Drosophila melanogaster: one gene and its partners. The protein of the gene in region 1 purifies or fractionates together with the protein of each later gene. This does not show direct contact. Each region holds a gene or a part of one and is shown in the gene's direction. Other genes may lie near its edges.

The links.
Region 2: the proteins of jar (region 1) and mira purify together in Drosophila melanogaster (affinity purification with western blotting; 2 studies listed by BioGRID, with this or other methods). This does not show direct contact.
Region 3: the proteins of jar (region 1) and corn purify together in Drosophila melanogaster (affinity purification with western blotting; one study listed by BioGRID). This does not show direct contact.

What each region holds. Positions count from the first base shown.
Region 1 is NT_033777.3:24,268,117-24,272,928, reverse strand, and holds the start of jar (jaguar), read left to right. Parts: upstream 1-1,695; 5' UTR 1,696-2,030; intron 2,031-4,812. UniProt on the Drosophila melanogaster protein: Myosin is a protein that binds to actin and has ATPase activity that is activated by actin. Together CLIP-190 and jar may coordinate the interaction between the actin and microtubule cytoskeleton.
Region 2 is NT_033777.3:19,931,475-19,936,753, reverse strand, and holds mira (miranda), read left to right. Parts: upstream 1-1,755; 5' UTR 1,756-2,080; coding exon 2,081-4,570; 3' UTR 4,571-4,720; downstream 4,721-5,279.
Region 3 is NT_037436.4:7,154,015-7,158,967, reverse strand, and holds the start of corn (cornetto), read left to right. Parts: upstream 1-1,894; 5' UTR 1,895-3,032; intron 3,033-4,953. Other genes in the region: CG8620 (uncharacterized protein), read right to left, coding at 158-721.

The sequences.
Region 1 (4,812 bases):
GTGCTCGGATATATCCGACTGTTTATGTTATATGCGAAAAGAAGAACGGCAAACAAACGCCGGCTGCATGCGCACTCTCAGTGGAATCGATATGGAATCGGGAGAGCGGGTCTCTAATACCAAGATAGCAATACCCAGATACAACCACTTCAGGCGGACGAGGAGAAGGTGGAGATATGACTAACATGGTACGGAGCCACCCCTAGTCGTTTTTGGTAGCAAATTACACCGATCCCCGGCCACTTACGGGGAAAGCCTCTACCAATTTCCATTTGCACAGCCGCTTGCAGCCAGGTAAGCCAGGTAAGTGGAAACTCGAATGCCTCATCCGATGGCAGTCGTTTGTCAATCAGGCGATCACGATCACTCAGACCTACGCGCTCTCTTTCACTTCCAATTGAGCTGCGCTGCGACAGACAGACAATTAAGCGGGTATTGCAAAAATACAAAGAAATGGTCGCAGTTGAGTCTAGCGACTAAGAGATACCCATTCTTGTTCGTTGAGATACCAGTTTTCATCAGCTAAAAGAACTTAGTTTCATTAGAAAATTATATCTTATAGTTAAGCAAGTACACCAAGTAACTTCAACTTTGAAATCTAGTATTACAAAGTTAGAAGGGTTCAACCATACTTACTTATAACTTATAACTTACTATAGTTAGTAAAACACAATATACCCCTGCGACAATTAATAAAGACGCTCCTGATTGAGCTCAATTAATAAGCGGGGCGCTGACCCATTATGAGAGCGAAAAATCAAAGACGGAAAATCGTACGATACAATGGCTCCTATTTCACACTCGTTTCTCGTTCATTCGCTAGTGTTATTTATCTAAATATTTGCAACAAAGGCTGGCGGAATATTTGATCCCCAGAATGCATCCAGGTGGTGGTGGTAGCTGGTAAAGTTAAGGACAGGAAAATAATTAGTCACCTCACTTTTTATTCATTAAACAACCCCTCTTGGAACTTTTACAAAGAGTACGGGCGGTATGTGGGAACCAATTGTCCTGCTCCACGTCACTAAACTTAAAATATATAGGGAACAAGAATATGAGAACGCACCGTTGTGCAGCCATCGAAATCTATATTTTGAAAAGTTGCCAAATCTTCTTGCTTTGCTGAAATAATTATAGTATAGTACTGAGAACTGAGTACAACACTATCCAACATTCTGACGGATAAACCACTGCGACTGTGGACCAGTCGTGATGCAGGTGTTGCAGAAGAGTGAACCACTCGATAACACCGCATTCTTAACCCATTCCATTCAAACTTGGCCATTTTCGTTTGCATCTTTCATAATTAAACTTAAAAACAGCACGATCAGCGGTGAATCTTTTTGAAGAGTATACTGTTTATATATACTGATATGCGGTGCATCTTAAATTACCATATTCCAAGCTTTAAGTTTAGAACTGGCTACACAAATAGGATAAGTAAAAACTACTGCATCTACGAAAATGAGTATCTTAAAAACCCATCTAACCATTATGGATTTGAAAAGTAACGCATATTTAAAATTAGCGCCAAAACTAATCTCTGGTCACACTGCAGGGCAGATTTTGCGCCCTAACTATCGGCAGCGGTGGTGGCACCTCTAGCGGTCAGCTGTTTTGCGCGTGCTTGTTGTTGTTTCGGTGCCGTTGCTTTTCGAAGTCGAAAATCCAAAAGTGGATTGTTGTGGATTTGATTTCAGTTCGACTCGACTCTCCAACGCGACGGTACGCGATTCGAGACGCTCGTGCTGGTCGCCTTCCGATCGCCGCTTGAATCTTAAATCTAAACTGTTAAAACCGAGGCAAACAAACACAACACCCAGCTGAAAATACTTCAAGTGTTACAAACTTTTGGAAATAGTGTATCGTGGCTATAAATTGCAAGTTCTAAATTCGAACCAAACAAAATCCACGCAGGAGATCGATTCCAAGTGGATTGCGCCTTCATCAATGTGTTCGTGTGCGTCCCCGGAAACATAATCCCCATTTGCCAGTAACTTACGCACGTACAGATTTCCAGCCGTCTTAAGGTAAGTGGCCAATATCTCTCTGGAGGAATAGGGGTAAGGGGATAACCGCCTGACAGCGAGTGGTGGTCACCTGTGAAGGCGGATTTGCTGCCTTTTGCTTTCTGTTGACTTGCGCTTTTCGCCTTTCCGCCTGACATTGGCACATTCTTGTCCACGAAAATTGGTTACCTATGTACAATATGCCAGTGTTGCAAACAAGAAATCGATTAGCAATCGCGGAAGTGACTGCACCCTACATATGAGTACTTTCAACTGGGAATCGTTTTTTGCACATAAACTAAACCAAAGTACAATTAATCATTACATTTTATTAATTTCTATACCAAGTAGTTACATAGAATTTAGCTCTTTTCTGGCTTTGGTAAACTTATTCTAACCATGACTCATATTTGTTTTGTTTGCCCTCCAATATTATTAGTTCTCTATAGAACAGGAGGTTCAAACAGAAAACGTGACCGTAAATCGAACAAAAGGAGTGCGCAGTCGCAACAGCAAATGTCACCACCATTCCTGCAATTCCCACAGCTGTCCTCCTACCACGCATCCTCATCCACATCCCGCACCCACAACCATGCACCCTATTCCATGTGTCCATATGTGTGTGTATGTACATAATTCTATTTATAGACAGGGGCCCATGTCAACGTCGTCAGTTCACAGTTGTTGTTGTTGTGTTTTTAAAGCAAACTCAAAGATAGTTTTGTGTCCCGACCATTTTAATTGAGTGCGGAAATGAGCAAACATTTCTTGGAGCCACACCCCCCTCCCTTCCCTGTCAACCAGGGACACAAGTGTCGTTCTCCCCGATCGACTGACTGGCCGTCTGATTTCCCATTCGAGGCACATTTCGTTTATTTATGTGGAAAATAGGGGCAGAGTAGGAGCTGGAGGAGCAGGGATGTGGACGCCGCTCCTGCGCATGCGTGTCCATGTTTGCAGACGTGCCCAACCTATTCTGAACACTTTAAAGCCAATTAAACGGGTTCGTCGATACCCTTTCATGTGGCCAGGGTATCTATATTTCTCTGGGGGGGTGAGGAATGTTGTCCTTGTTCACGGGAATCGGTGGCTAGAAACAAACAAGAATGTTTATATGGGTGCTAAAACTAACTTACCTATTTGCATTTCCCTTTAACCAAGACATTTTACTTTATAATAAATATTTGATGGATTTATTGAGGTATCACTGTATCATTTCACCTAATATTCGCACAAGGGTGTCGCGCATATAATTCCATATAATTCGAGATCCTTTGCGGTGCACTGGAGGAAGTCCTGTTGTTGTCCCTGTGCTGGCTGTCACTCAAGCCCCGTTCAACCCCCTTTCAAACCGACGTGACCTCCCCCTCGCCGGGTGGCAAGCAATTCCCAACACGCGCCACACAGCTGACAGGATCGCAGGATCACAATCCTGATCTCCATTGCCGTCCATTGTCAGCGCCGACAGCTGCCTATATGAATTATATGGAACCTTCGACGGGTTATACAGATATGTAGCCCAAAGTTTCTCGAATGGAGGCAAACCAATCTTTTTGGAGTGGCCAGCAGTTGGGCTCGAGATGCGTTAGACCAATTTGCATATAATACAAAAAGAGAAACACTGAAACGGCCGACGATTGTTCAAAGATTCGCAGTGAAAGTCAGCCAGAGTGTGTGGTTTAATTGCAGCTTTTGTTTTGATAGTCGATTAGCATAATTCCAGTTGTATTTTGCTTCTATCGTGGCATCGTTGATGGATTTTTTATGTACATGCCCCTCTTGTTTTATTCATGTACATTAGTTTTTTTTGGTTTGTCCAACGCAACACGTGCTTATAAAATATTGGATCAATATATGCAATGAAAGTTCCGTTTCAGTTTCCTGTTCAAAAATATATCAACGGTGATTCAAACTATATATTCGGAATACAGTTGTAAATATGATAAGATAGCACTCATTTTTAAACACTAAATAAATAAATTATTTCAAGCTTAAACTTCAACCACTTAACTAATGTGAATCATGTATGATGATAATGATACGACCATTTTTATAGTTACAGTAACATTTAAATTCATAATCCATAATCCCATAATCTGCAACTTTTTTGTCAAAAAATTTTACTTTCGTTTGATTAATGACTGTCAGTCTATTTATAACTTTTCAATCGTTAAACAATCATTTAAAACAAAGGGACTGAAAATAGATTTGCATAGCTATAGTTTTCGATGGGAAAGAGGCTCGACTTTCTGCAATTTGCTAGTTGTGTGGCCAATAAATTTGGTTATATTATTCTCATTACAACGAAACTGAATTATATTTACCTGCTATTTATTTTTCTGCCTAGCGTCAAACGGGTAATTGTGCTGGGGAACTGAGATAAGATTAAGTGTGAAACGATAACACATATTTGGGAACACCACACACAGGCCGCCCAAAAAAACAAAGGCTGGCTAACACAAAGCCCCCAATGTGACCCAAAATAAACGAAGTGATCCATGCTTTTTTCCCCCATGCTCACATATCCGCCAAGTGCAAAGTAACGACTTGCAGGTCCACACCATATGGAAAATCTGTGAACATGTGTCGTGGAAAATGAGTTATAGGGTCGTCACACAAATCCATCAACGTCTGTAAAATGACTTGGTTAATGGCAATGGCAATGGGAATGGAAATGGGATTCGGATCTGGGTCTGGGTCTGGATGTGGGATAGCCAGCGGTTAGCATTTGCATTTTAATTGCATCTCCGAATTGTAGGAAACGAGCAGCGTTAATTGCCGTTTGGCTCACAGGAAAAAAAAA
Region 2 (5,279 bases), 4.3 Mb from region 1:
CGGCGTAGGGTAAATGTCATTAACATCATTAATATTACTGTGAGTCCTGCACATCATTGGATCAGCGAATAATGAAAACCCTTTTTCGTAAAATTTCCATTTTTATTATAAGAGAGTTTGGGAAAATCAAATGCAAATATGTTTATGGGAAAATATTACCTCTATGAAACCAAAGGATGGTTTCGTAACCTTATATACATACATATTATGTACATGAACTATATAAATTGACAAAGGTTGTGAAGCATAAATATAAATTAAAAAGTAATGCTTGAGTATTAATATTCTATTGATTTCCAAACGATTTCCCTTGTCCTATGGCTCCCTACATTGTCTTTCTACATTATAATTCTTTTGCACAGCTGTGTGTGGCTGACCCACCCAGAATTTCATGCTTGTCTGCTTTAACCTAGAATTATCACCTCCCAGTTGCTAGAATCTTCCGGTCATTGTTTGCCATCAAAGGAACAACCAGCTGATTTCAGTTGGCAGTTGTGACAAACTCACTGGAGAAAAGAAGTGAAAAAATGACAGGATGCACAGGCAGCTACCGCAGGATCAGCAGGATATCATGAGGGGGTTCTCTATACAGATTATAGATGGCCGATTGCCCAACTGCCTAGCGATATCACATGAAAAATCAATTTTCCCGACGCATTTCCATTTTCCATGCAATTCATTTAGCCTCAATTCCATTCAACTCATTGCGCAGGCGCAACTCGCCCATTTCCGACGCATTTTCCTTTAATTATGCGGGCATCGGATTTCGTATCAAATTAACGAATTATGCTGGCTGCCAGCTGTGTTGGAGCTAACGGATGAGGCAGTCCATCCAGCCATCAGCTCATATCCTTGTACTCGTAGTCTCGCAATTCTCGAAAGCAATCGCATTTACTTGTAGTCCTCGAAGGAAAGGAGAAGCCCAGGCAGATGTGAGTGAGTGTGTCTCTGTTCGTCGGCAACGGCACATTTCCCATATGTACTTAAGCCGGGGAATGCGGAACCCCGTCGTCCTATCTCCACCCCTACCCATCTTGCTACCCCCACTCCGGTCTCGAACCCTCCTCGTGCTGTCTTGAACTACAATTGCAACATTTGCGCGCGCTAAAATGAAAACATTTCCTTTATATACACGAGGCCGACGTCTTGACAAACACACAGATAAGACGAACAGGGGATCAAGAACTGTGGCACGAACTACCACCAAATAAAAAAAAAATTAGGAGTCGTATAACTCGGCTTACCTGAATTCTAGATACTCTTAAAAGAGGACATTATAGAAAATATATAATATTATATGTTTAATTTAAATTGAAAAGTGGTTAAGATCAGAAGAATTATGCCGTCTGCAAATGACTTGTCTAATATTAAATTAACATTAGAATGTTTAAGGAATATGAAATTTTTGTTCAGCTAATATCTAAAAAATCCAAAATTGTCGTGATATTATTTTCTATGTCCACTAATTATTATATTCAATGTTAATGTTATTAGATTAAAATGAAAGTCCTACGAAATGAAAACCATAAACCATTTTTCGTTTGAAGATCTCGGAAATACCCAACCTGAAATGTTGGGTATATCCCACATAGGTGAAGCAATGCAGGATCGTTGAAGCGACCCCTGCTCGAGCGAGGGTTGTTTTCTTTGCCTCCCCTGGGTCTATCTCGTTTCCACACTCTATCCATCCCTTTTCCACTCGCTGTGCCAGCTGGAGGCTATGTCTGCCTCAGGGATCTTGGACAGAAGGTGAGCTCAGTTAGGTTTTGACAGCGGAACGCGTAGGTACAGTGAAACGGGTAGCAACGGGATAGCGGGTTTAGTGTAGCACAGAACGGACCACAAAGTACAGATGAATTAAATACGACTACAGACTACTACCATATTGTTAAACAGTTTACCTAAAAATCCTAAGGAAAAGATAACCAAATTAAACCGAAAGTTAAAGTTGTGTTTATGTTTGATCGTTGAGTTATTGTTATATCGAAAGTTAAACGAGCGTTGTTAATGAGACATTGATACAAAATCCGAAAAGAATCGTTACCAAGTTAAACCGAAAGTCCAAAAAACAAATTCGAAAATGTCTTTCTCCAAGGCCAAGTTGAAGCGTTTCAACGACGTGGATGTGGCCATCTGCGGTTCGCCAGCTGCGTCCAACAGCTCGGCGGGATCGGCGGGCAGTGCCACGCCCACCGCGTCTTCGGCAGCCGCTGCTCCGCCAACCGTTCAACCGGAACGCAAGGAGCAGATCGAGAAGTTCTTCAAGGACGCCGTGCGTTTCGCGTCCAGCTCGAAGGAGGCCAAGGAATTTGCCATTCCCAAGGAGGACAAAAAGTCAAAGGGATTACGTCTGTTCCGTACTCCTTCGTTGCCGCAGCGCCTACGCTTCCGTCCGACTCCCAGTCACACGGATACGGCCACCGGAAGCGGAAGTGGCGCCTCAACAGCGGCATCCACTCCTCTGCATTCGGCAGCCACCACGCCCGTAAAGGAGGCCAAGTCAGCCAGCCGTCTGAAGGGCAAGGAGGCACTCCAGTACGAAATCCGTCACAAAAACGAACTGATCGAGAGCCAGTTGAGCCAACTGGACGTGCTGCGCCGCCATGTGGATCAGTTGAAGGAAGCCGAGGCCAAGTTGCGCGAGGAGCATGAGTTGGCTACCTCCAAGACAGATCGGCTCATCGAAGCCCTGACCAGTGAGAATTTATCGCACAAAGCTCTGAACGAGCAGATGGGCCAGGAGCACGCTGATCTTTTGGAGCGTTTGGCCGCCATGGAGCAGCAGTTGCAGCAACAGCACGACGAGCATGAAAGGCAAGTGGAGGCGTTGGTTGCCGAGAGCGAGGCACTGCGTCTGGCCAACGAGCTGCTGCAGACAGCGAATGAGGATCGTCAAAAGGTGGAGGAGCAGCTGCAGGCACAACTCTCTGCTCTTCAGGCGGATGTGGCTCAGGCCCGCGAGCACTGCAGCCTGGAGCAGGCAAAGACCGCCGAGAACATTGAGCTGGTAGAGAATCTCCAGAAGACCAATGCCTCCCTGCTGGCCGACGTGGTCCAGCTGAAGCAGCAGATCGAACAGGATGCCCTGTCCTACGGACAGGAGGCCAAGAGCTGCCAGGCGGAACTGGAGTGTCTGAAGGTGGAGCGCAACACCCTGAAGAATGACTTGGCCAACAAGTGCACTCTGATCCGCTCGCTGCAAGACGAGCTTCTCGACAAGAACTGCGAGATCGATGCTCACTGCGATACCATTCGCCAGCTGTGCCGGGAACAGGCTCGCCACACCGAGCAGCAGCAGGCGGTGGCCAAGGTGCAGCAGCAGGTTGAGAGCGACCTAGAGAGCGCGGTGGAGCGCGAGAAGAGCTACTGGCGCGCCGAGCTGGACAAGCGCCAGAAGCTGGCCGAGAACGAGCTGATCAAGATCGAGCTGGAGAAGCAGGACGTGATGGTGCTGCTGGAGACCACCAATGATATGCTGCGCATGCGCGACGAGAAGCTGCAGAAATGCGAAGAGCAGTTGCGCAACGGCATCGACTACTACATCCAGCTGAGCGACGCACTGCAGCAGCAGCTGGTGCAGCTGAAGCAGGACATGGCCAAGACGATCACCGAGAAGTACAACTACCAGCTGACTTTGACCAACACCCGGGCCACCGTCAACATTCTGATGGAGCGTCTAAAGAAGTCCGATGCGGATGTGGAGCAGTACCGAGCGGAGCTGGAATCGGTGCAGTTGGCCAAGGGAGCGCTGGAGCAGAGCTATCTGGTGTTGCAGGCGGACGCAGAGCAACTGCGCCAGCAATTGACCGAGAGCCAGGATGCGCTCAACGCACTGAGATCCTCCTCCCAGACGCTGCAGAGCGAGGTATCGTTGAAGGAGTCCTTGCTCCACGAGCTGCTAGCCGGCGAGGCGGAGACGTTGGCTAAATTCAATCAGATTGCAAACTCGTTCCAGGAGCGCATCGATGGCGACGCCCAGTTGGCCCACTACCACGAGCTGCGCCGCAAGGACGAGACGCGCGAGGCCTACATGGTGGACATGAAGAAGGCGCTCGATGAATTCGCCACCGTGCTGCAGTTCGCCCAATTGGAGCTGGACAACAAGGAGCAGATGCTTGTTAAGGTGCGCGAGGAGTGCGAACAGCTCAAGCTGGAGAACATTGCCCTCAAGTCCAAGCAACCGGGATCCGCCTCTCTGCTGGGAACACCTGGCAAGGCCAACCGCTCCAATACCACCGATCTGGAGAAGATCGAGGATCTGCTGTGCGACTCGGAGCTGCGATCCGACTGCGAGAAGATCACCACGTGGCTGCTCAACTCCTCGGACAAGTGCGTGCGCCAGGATACCACCAGCGAGATCAACGAGCTCCTGTCCGCCGGCAAGTCCTCGCCCCGTCCCGCCCCCCGCACACCCAAGGCGCCGCACACCCCGCGCAGTCCGCGCACCCCCCACACCCCACGAACACCACGATCGGCGGCCAGCACTCCCAAGAAGACTGTCCTGTTCGCCGGCAAGGAGAACGTGCCCAGTCCGCCACAGAAGCAGGTGCTCAAGGCGCGCAACATCTAGGCTATTCCTTTGTAACAACTACTCTATCGTACTATTATAAATTATATACCTTAGCTAAGATCCGATTCGAAATATAATCAATACACGTTGCACACAACACAGCCAGAGGTGTTTCTGAAATCTCTTTCGAGCACTCTCCGACTAAATTCCAAATCTGATTGTTTTCTATCTTTCGCGTTTGTGTTCTGGAAATATGGGACTTACCTAATCTCATAAAAAATATCATTTTGATGCAATGCATTTTAAGGCATGAGAAATCAAATAAAAAATCTGAAAAAGGTGTCTTGGAAAGTGAGACCTTCTTTAAAGCTATTTAAATTAAATAGACTCATCTTTGAATGTAACGAAAATAATGAGAATGCATCAATTATTTTTTCCATTTATTAGCCAATTTATTCATATAAGGTCAAATTATCTGTAAAAAAAAAAAAGAAATAAAAGGTATTCTGATCTAAAATGTAGAAGTGTACAGTATCATCACCTTGAACTTCGTTCTTAAAATACGTTATATCTTGTATATGCATTTAAAAAAGCCTGTACCTAAAGAATCAGGAAATTGTTTACGTTTTTCATACCAACCCCGTGCAACTCGTTTTTGATTTCGATGTGGTGGAATTTTCTCATGCTGAAACTCCTCGTTGAAGAATGAGAAGGAAGGGGTGTGGGCTGCCATGCAATCCGATGGATTCTTGCGACGCTGATTACGCAC
Region 3 (4,953 bases), on another chromosome or scaffold:
CACCCAAAATAAAGATAAGCCCACCCTCCATTAAAAAGAATTCATTTGAATATTTTTTTCATATTTTATATATTTTATTATTTTTTTTTTTTTGGTTTTTTTATGCGCACTTAATATATAAAATGAATATTGAATAATACTGAATGAAGCCAGATACTCACACTGAAATCCGAACGGGCAGAGCCAGGGGTAGTGCTCGAGATCGTCGGGAATCGGTGTAGGACCTGGAACGAGAACGCCCATGAGAACGACCACGCGAGTGACCACGGGAGCGACCGCGAGACCGGGAACGATCCCGCTTGCGGTCATCTCGCGTGTGTCTTCTCCGCGGCATGTGCCCCTCCTTCTCCGCCAGGATCAGCTCGCAGTCACTGTGGTCGGAACTGGAACTGGAAGATGAGCTAGTGTGATGACTATGACTATGATGTTTGCGTCCTCTGTGTCGTCGTTTACCTCCATCGGAGCTGCGGTGCTTGGACTTGGTCTCCTTGATGGAGAGTTGAGATTCCTGCTGCTGCTGCTTCTGGATCTGTTTCATCACATCGTTCAGCATTTTCTGGGCCATGTTGGCCTTTCGAATGAGACGCTCCATCGACGGCAAGGCCATGTCCTCGACTTCCACGGGCGTGGCATTTGGCAATTGGCCGCGGCATCCTTGACATGCATCCGGCCCTGCATTTGCCGCAGTTTGCTCACGTGCCACGTTATCGGATTGCGACATTTTTGCACTAGTTTACAACTGACCCGATAAGAAATTCACTCAACACTTTAATTACTGATTAACTACTGTTTCTCTGAACTGGATATAACTGCTGCGGAATCTGTTGCTTATGTTTCGACTGCTTCACTTGAACACTTGAATTTGACTGGCTTCTGCGGCATTCGGTCGATGAGCTTTTATAGGCAACTTTGGCGCCAAGCTAATCGCGACTTTCGGACTGTAAACATTTGCCTTTCTTTATCAGTCACATACTCATACAAACCACACGATAAATGTGACGTCATCTGAGCTATTTTTAACCAAATCGCATTCATGGGTTTTTGGGAAATTACTTCCATTGATCACGTGTTTTTAATGTTACATAATTTCATTGCCGAACGTAACCTCAAACATATTTCATATTTTTGCGAAATTCTTCTTACTTTTGTATTTCTGCATATTATATGCATTATAAATATTCTGCGTATTTTTATAAGCATACCTTTTATTATTTTTTACGATTTTGTGAAATATGACATTATTTTGATATAATTTTAATTTTGAATTTCGTCCAAGTGTGTAATTTTAAAACAATTATTTTATCGTTTTAAATCATCGAAAATTTTAAGAATATAAAGTATTAAGAAATTTACACAATTTTTTGAAAATGTTTTGGGATCTTAATAATTGCATAAATCAGGTTTAGCACATTATTTTAGAAATACTAAACGGTTAAATATTTTACAGAACTGCTATTTAATTTTAAGGTATAAGACTACGTATAAGACATTACCGCTTGAGACTAGTATTTTTATTGTGGTATTTTCATGATTGCTTTTGAATTGTGCCCGCCAAAATATGCAGTCTTAACCACAAGCGGTTAAAATCATTCCTTACGTTTACTTATATTTAAAAATCGACAAAAGGTATAATAATTCAAAACTATTAAAAAATTTTAAATAAAACTAAACGAGTCTAAGTTTTCTTAATCAAAATAGCTGTTAATATGGATAAGATATATTTGGCGCATCCAATAGATACATTTAACCGCTGAAGAGAATTAACAGTGTGATACGCCAGACTGTTAACAGACTGTTAAAACGCGATTTCCCGGCTTTGGTATTTTTACATTACCATCATTTGGTTTCTCTGATATTTTAAAAATCTATATAAGCAGCTCGCAACGCATTCTCTCTGTAATTTTTCGGGAGAGCGCAGCAGCGCGCGCTGTTTTTTCGGTTACCATTAAAAAATATTATTAAAGAAACATCGTTATAACTTTAATGCCAACGGAGTTGCGGCAATTGAAACTGATTTTTTAAGCAAACGAACAATAAATTCGACGTGGAGTGTGCTTCTGCTCGCCTACATGAAGTAATAGCGATGTATATTATGATTTAGTAAATATAAATCGATTTAATTAATATTTAAACTTGTTGTTTTCCGCGAGTGGGCGCGTTTTGTTACCAAGCCGCTATACGATTTTCGTTTTTCCGACTTTCCTGCGCGCCGAACGGGTTTTTCAACGAAGCCTTGCTGTCTTTTTCCTCGTAAGCAGCAAAAACAAGGCTGAAAAACTAAATTAAAGCGACTCGCTTCAGCTGCAGATTAATCGATGTGCGGCTATAGACTTTTAATTCGCAGATTCATCATCGATTTTTCCTTTGGGCTCAGCTGCAGTGCGCTAGTGTACGTGTATGTGCGTGTGTGTGAGTTGGTCCTGACAATACAAATAAGCCGTTGTGTTAGGTAAACGGAACAACAAAAGGAAGTGAACCAGAGAGAGAAAGAGAGAGAGGAAACGGCAGGACGATACCGAGTCCTTGAGCGATCATTCATGCTCTTCTTCTTCTCCAGCTGCAGCTGTCACGAAATTTCGCGCGTGCACGTGTATGTGTGTGTGTGGGAGACAGGGAGAACGCCGAAGTTAGTAATTTCTCTCCACTTCTCAGTGTTTGTGCATTCAATTTGCACAAAATTGAAGCGACGCGCTAAATTCGCAAATTTCCGTCCGCGAATTGCCATCCATTATTTTGCACTCCCCCCCAAGAGAGCGAGAGCAATAATAGAATTATCAGGCAAAGCAAAAAAAAAAATCAAAACTCAAGCGAAAAGAGAATGCCCTGGGAGGCCGTAATACCAATACCGCGACCCTCTGACATTTCCATCGTCGCCCACCAAAGGAACAACAACTGAGCGACAAAGACAGCAACAATCCGACAAACAAACAAACAAAACAGCAAACGAGCGAATCAACGAACGAAACTCCAGCAGCAGCCTCAACCTCCTCAACCGCTGGCACAGTTTTCCTCCTTCAACTCCAGCTCCGTGGGTGAGTAGCTACAGTGGAACGCCACTAAGTAGAACATTCTGCGAGTTCTAAGTTAAATTGCAGAGAATATCGCTTTGAGCACAAACTGATTAGAAATTGCCTTCACTTGGTCTTAGAAAGTTTACTAATACCAACTGATACATCGTTTTTTTGTTTGTTAATGTCAGTTTTAAATTGAAATCGATTAACAAATCTTAATGTCCTTTTTATATTTTTTTATAATGGATGTGGGATATGGGGGAAAGGCAAATGGCTCTTACGTGTAAAATTTTATAGTTTTTCCATAGCATTTAAGTACAATTAATTTTCTTTACGAAGAAAATGAAAGTTTTGCTTATGTAACAAGCCAAATTTAAGCAAATATTTTGTTTTTTGTATCAGGATAAAAGTTAAGCTTACCCAATCTCCACTGTAACTCATTGGCGGGTAGAAAGTGGTTATCGAATATGAGCTGCGTCTTATGTTGAAGCCACATCGTCGTGTGGGCGAGAGGGTGGTTGTGGTGGGTCAGAGGTGTGTTGGCGTCGTGCGGCTTTGGTTTTTAGCTGAAATTAAAAAGGTCAGGACCGCCGGACTGAGGGGCTTCCGGATTTTGTATCCTAGCCACGTAGTCCGCTTCATTATGCAGCGTTAACTTTGTATGTAAAAGCGTATATACGTATGTACATATGTACATACATATATGGATGTGGCAAGCGGTGAATATAATTTCAGTTGCATGACTTCGGCGATAATCGATTTTGAAGCGACGAAGCAATCAGGAAGAGTGCAATTTAATGTCAGTCCGTCACTCAGTCAGTCAAACAGTCACAACTTGACACACTGCAAAAAGTTATGCTGCAAAATGGAGGTCAGCATGACGTTTTTGCATTAAAGATACAAAGGGAAATGTAGCAAAAACCAAACTTTTTGCTTAAAAAGTTTGGTAATACTTAATGTTTGCATGGATTTAGGCAAGCAATTGCGTTTTAAGTTTACTTAGAAAAGTATATACATTTGTCAAGTAAATAGTATCAATGTGCTCAATCGATTCCCATTTCCTTGAATTAATAATTGGTATATGCTACCATTTTTCCGGCCTGCTTAAATGGCGTTTACCATATTCATAAGCGCCCCGGTTGATGGAGCAGCGGACATGTTAGCCGTTACTCCATAATGCGACAACTTGGCGACTTGAAGTGGGGGATGTCGTAATGGAGAGTGAGCTGAGGAAATCGCTAATTAAGCATCAATTAGTGCAGTTTCCGGTGCAAGAGCCGCTAGAAGCAAGCAAGCCACCGTTCTTGTACTTTCCACTCGTCGAACAAATCGTGTGACACATTTCGCTTTCCCACACACCAATTGGCGATAGGAGTTATCAGCACTTTTCAGCTTTAGCACTTCTTACCACTTTGGCTGGCCTGCCCCCTATCCCAAAAGATAATAACACATTGCATTTTCAATGTGTTTCCCCTGATATACATATACAAATGTGCCCGATTAGCGGGTATCTCAATAACAATGGCCGTAATTTATGATAAACAAGTTTTTGAAGTGTGCGAAATTTAGCAGCTCACTGATTTGAGCCTGTTTTTGGCGACACACCACACTCCGCTTGGTACCCCTTGTTCAAATGTTGCATTGTTTATAATCAGTAACGGACTCATAAGCGAACACATGTCTGGGTTGGTTTTCAAGGTCAGTTGAATGGCCAGATTCGCCTCGTTTGTGATTTGGCAACCCCATGGAAACACGATAAACGAGGGCAAACAGAGCTGAATTCAAGCTGCAGCCTCATCATCTCGTCTTTCTCCAGACAATGGCCATTCGGCTATACCATTTCAGAGGTTTATGCCTTGAGAGAACGCTTCTGGAGACGAAAACCCGGCCTGGACTGGAACCTTGCCAAGACACACTCGAGACGCGCGTTGACAATGAGCGA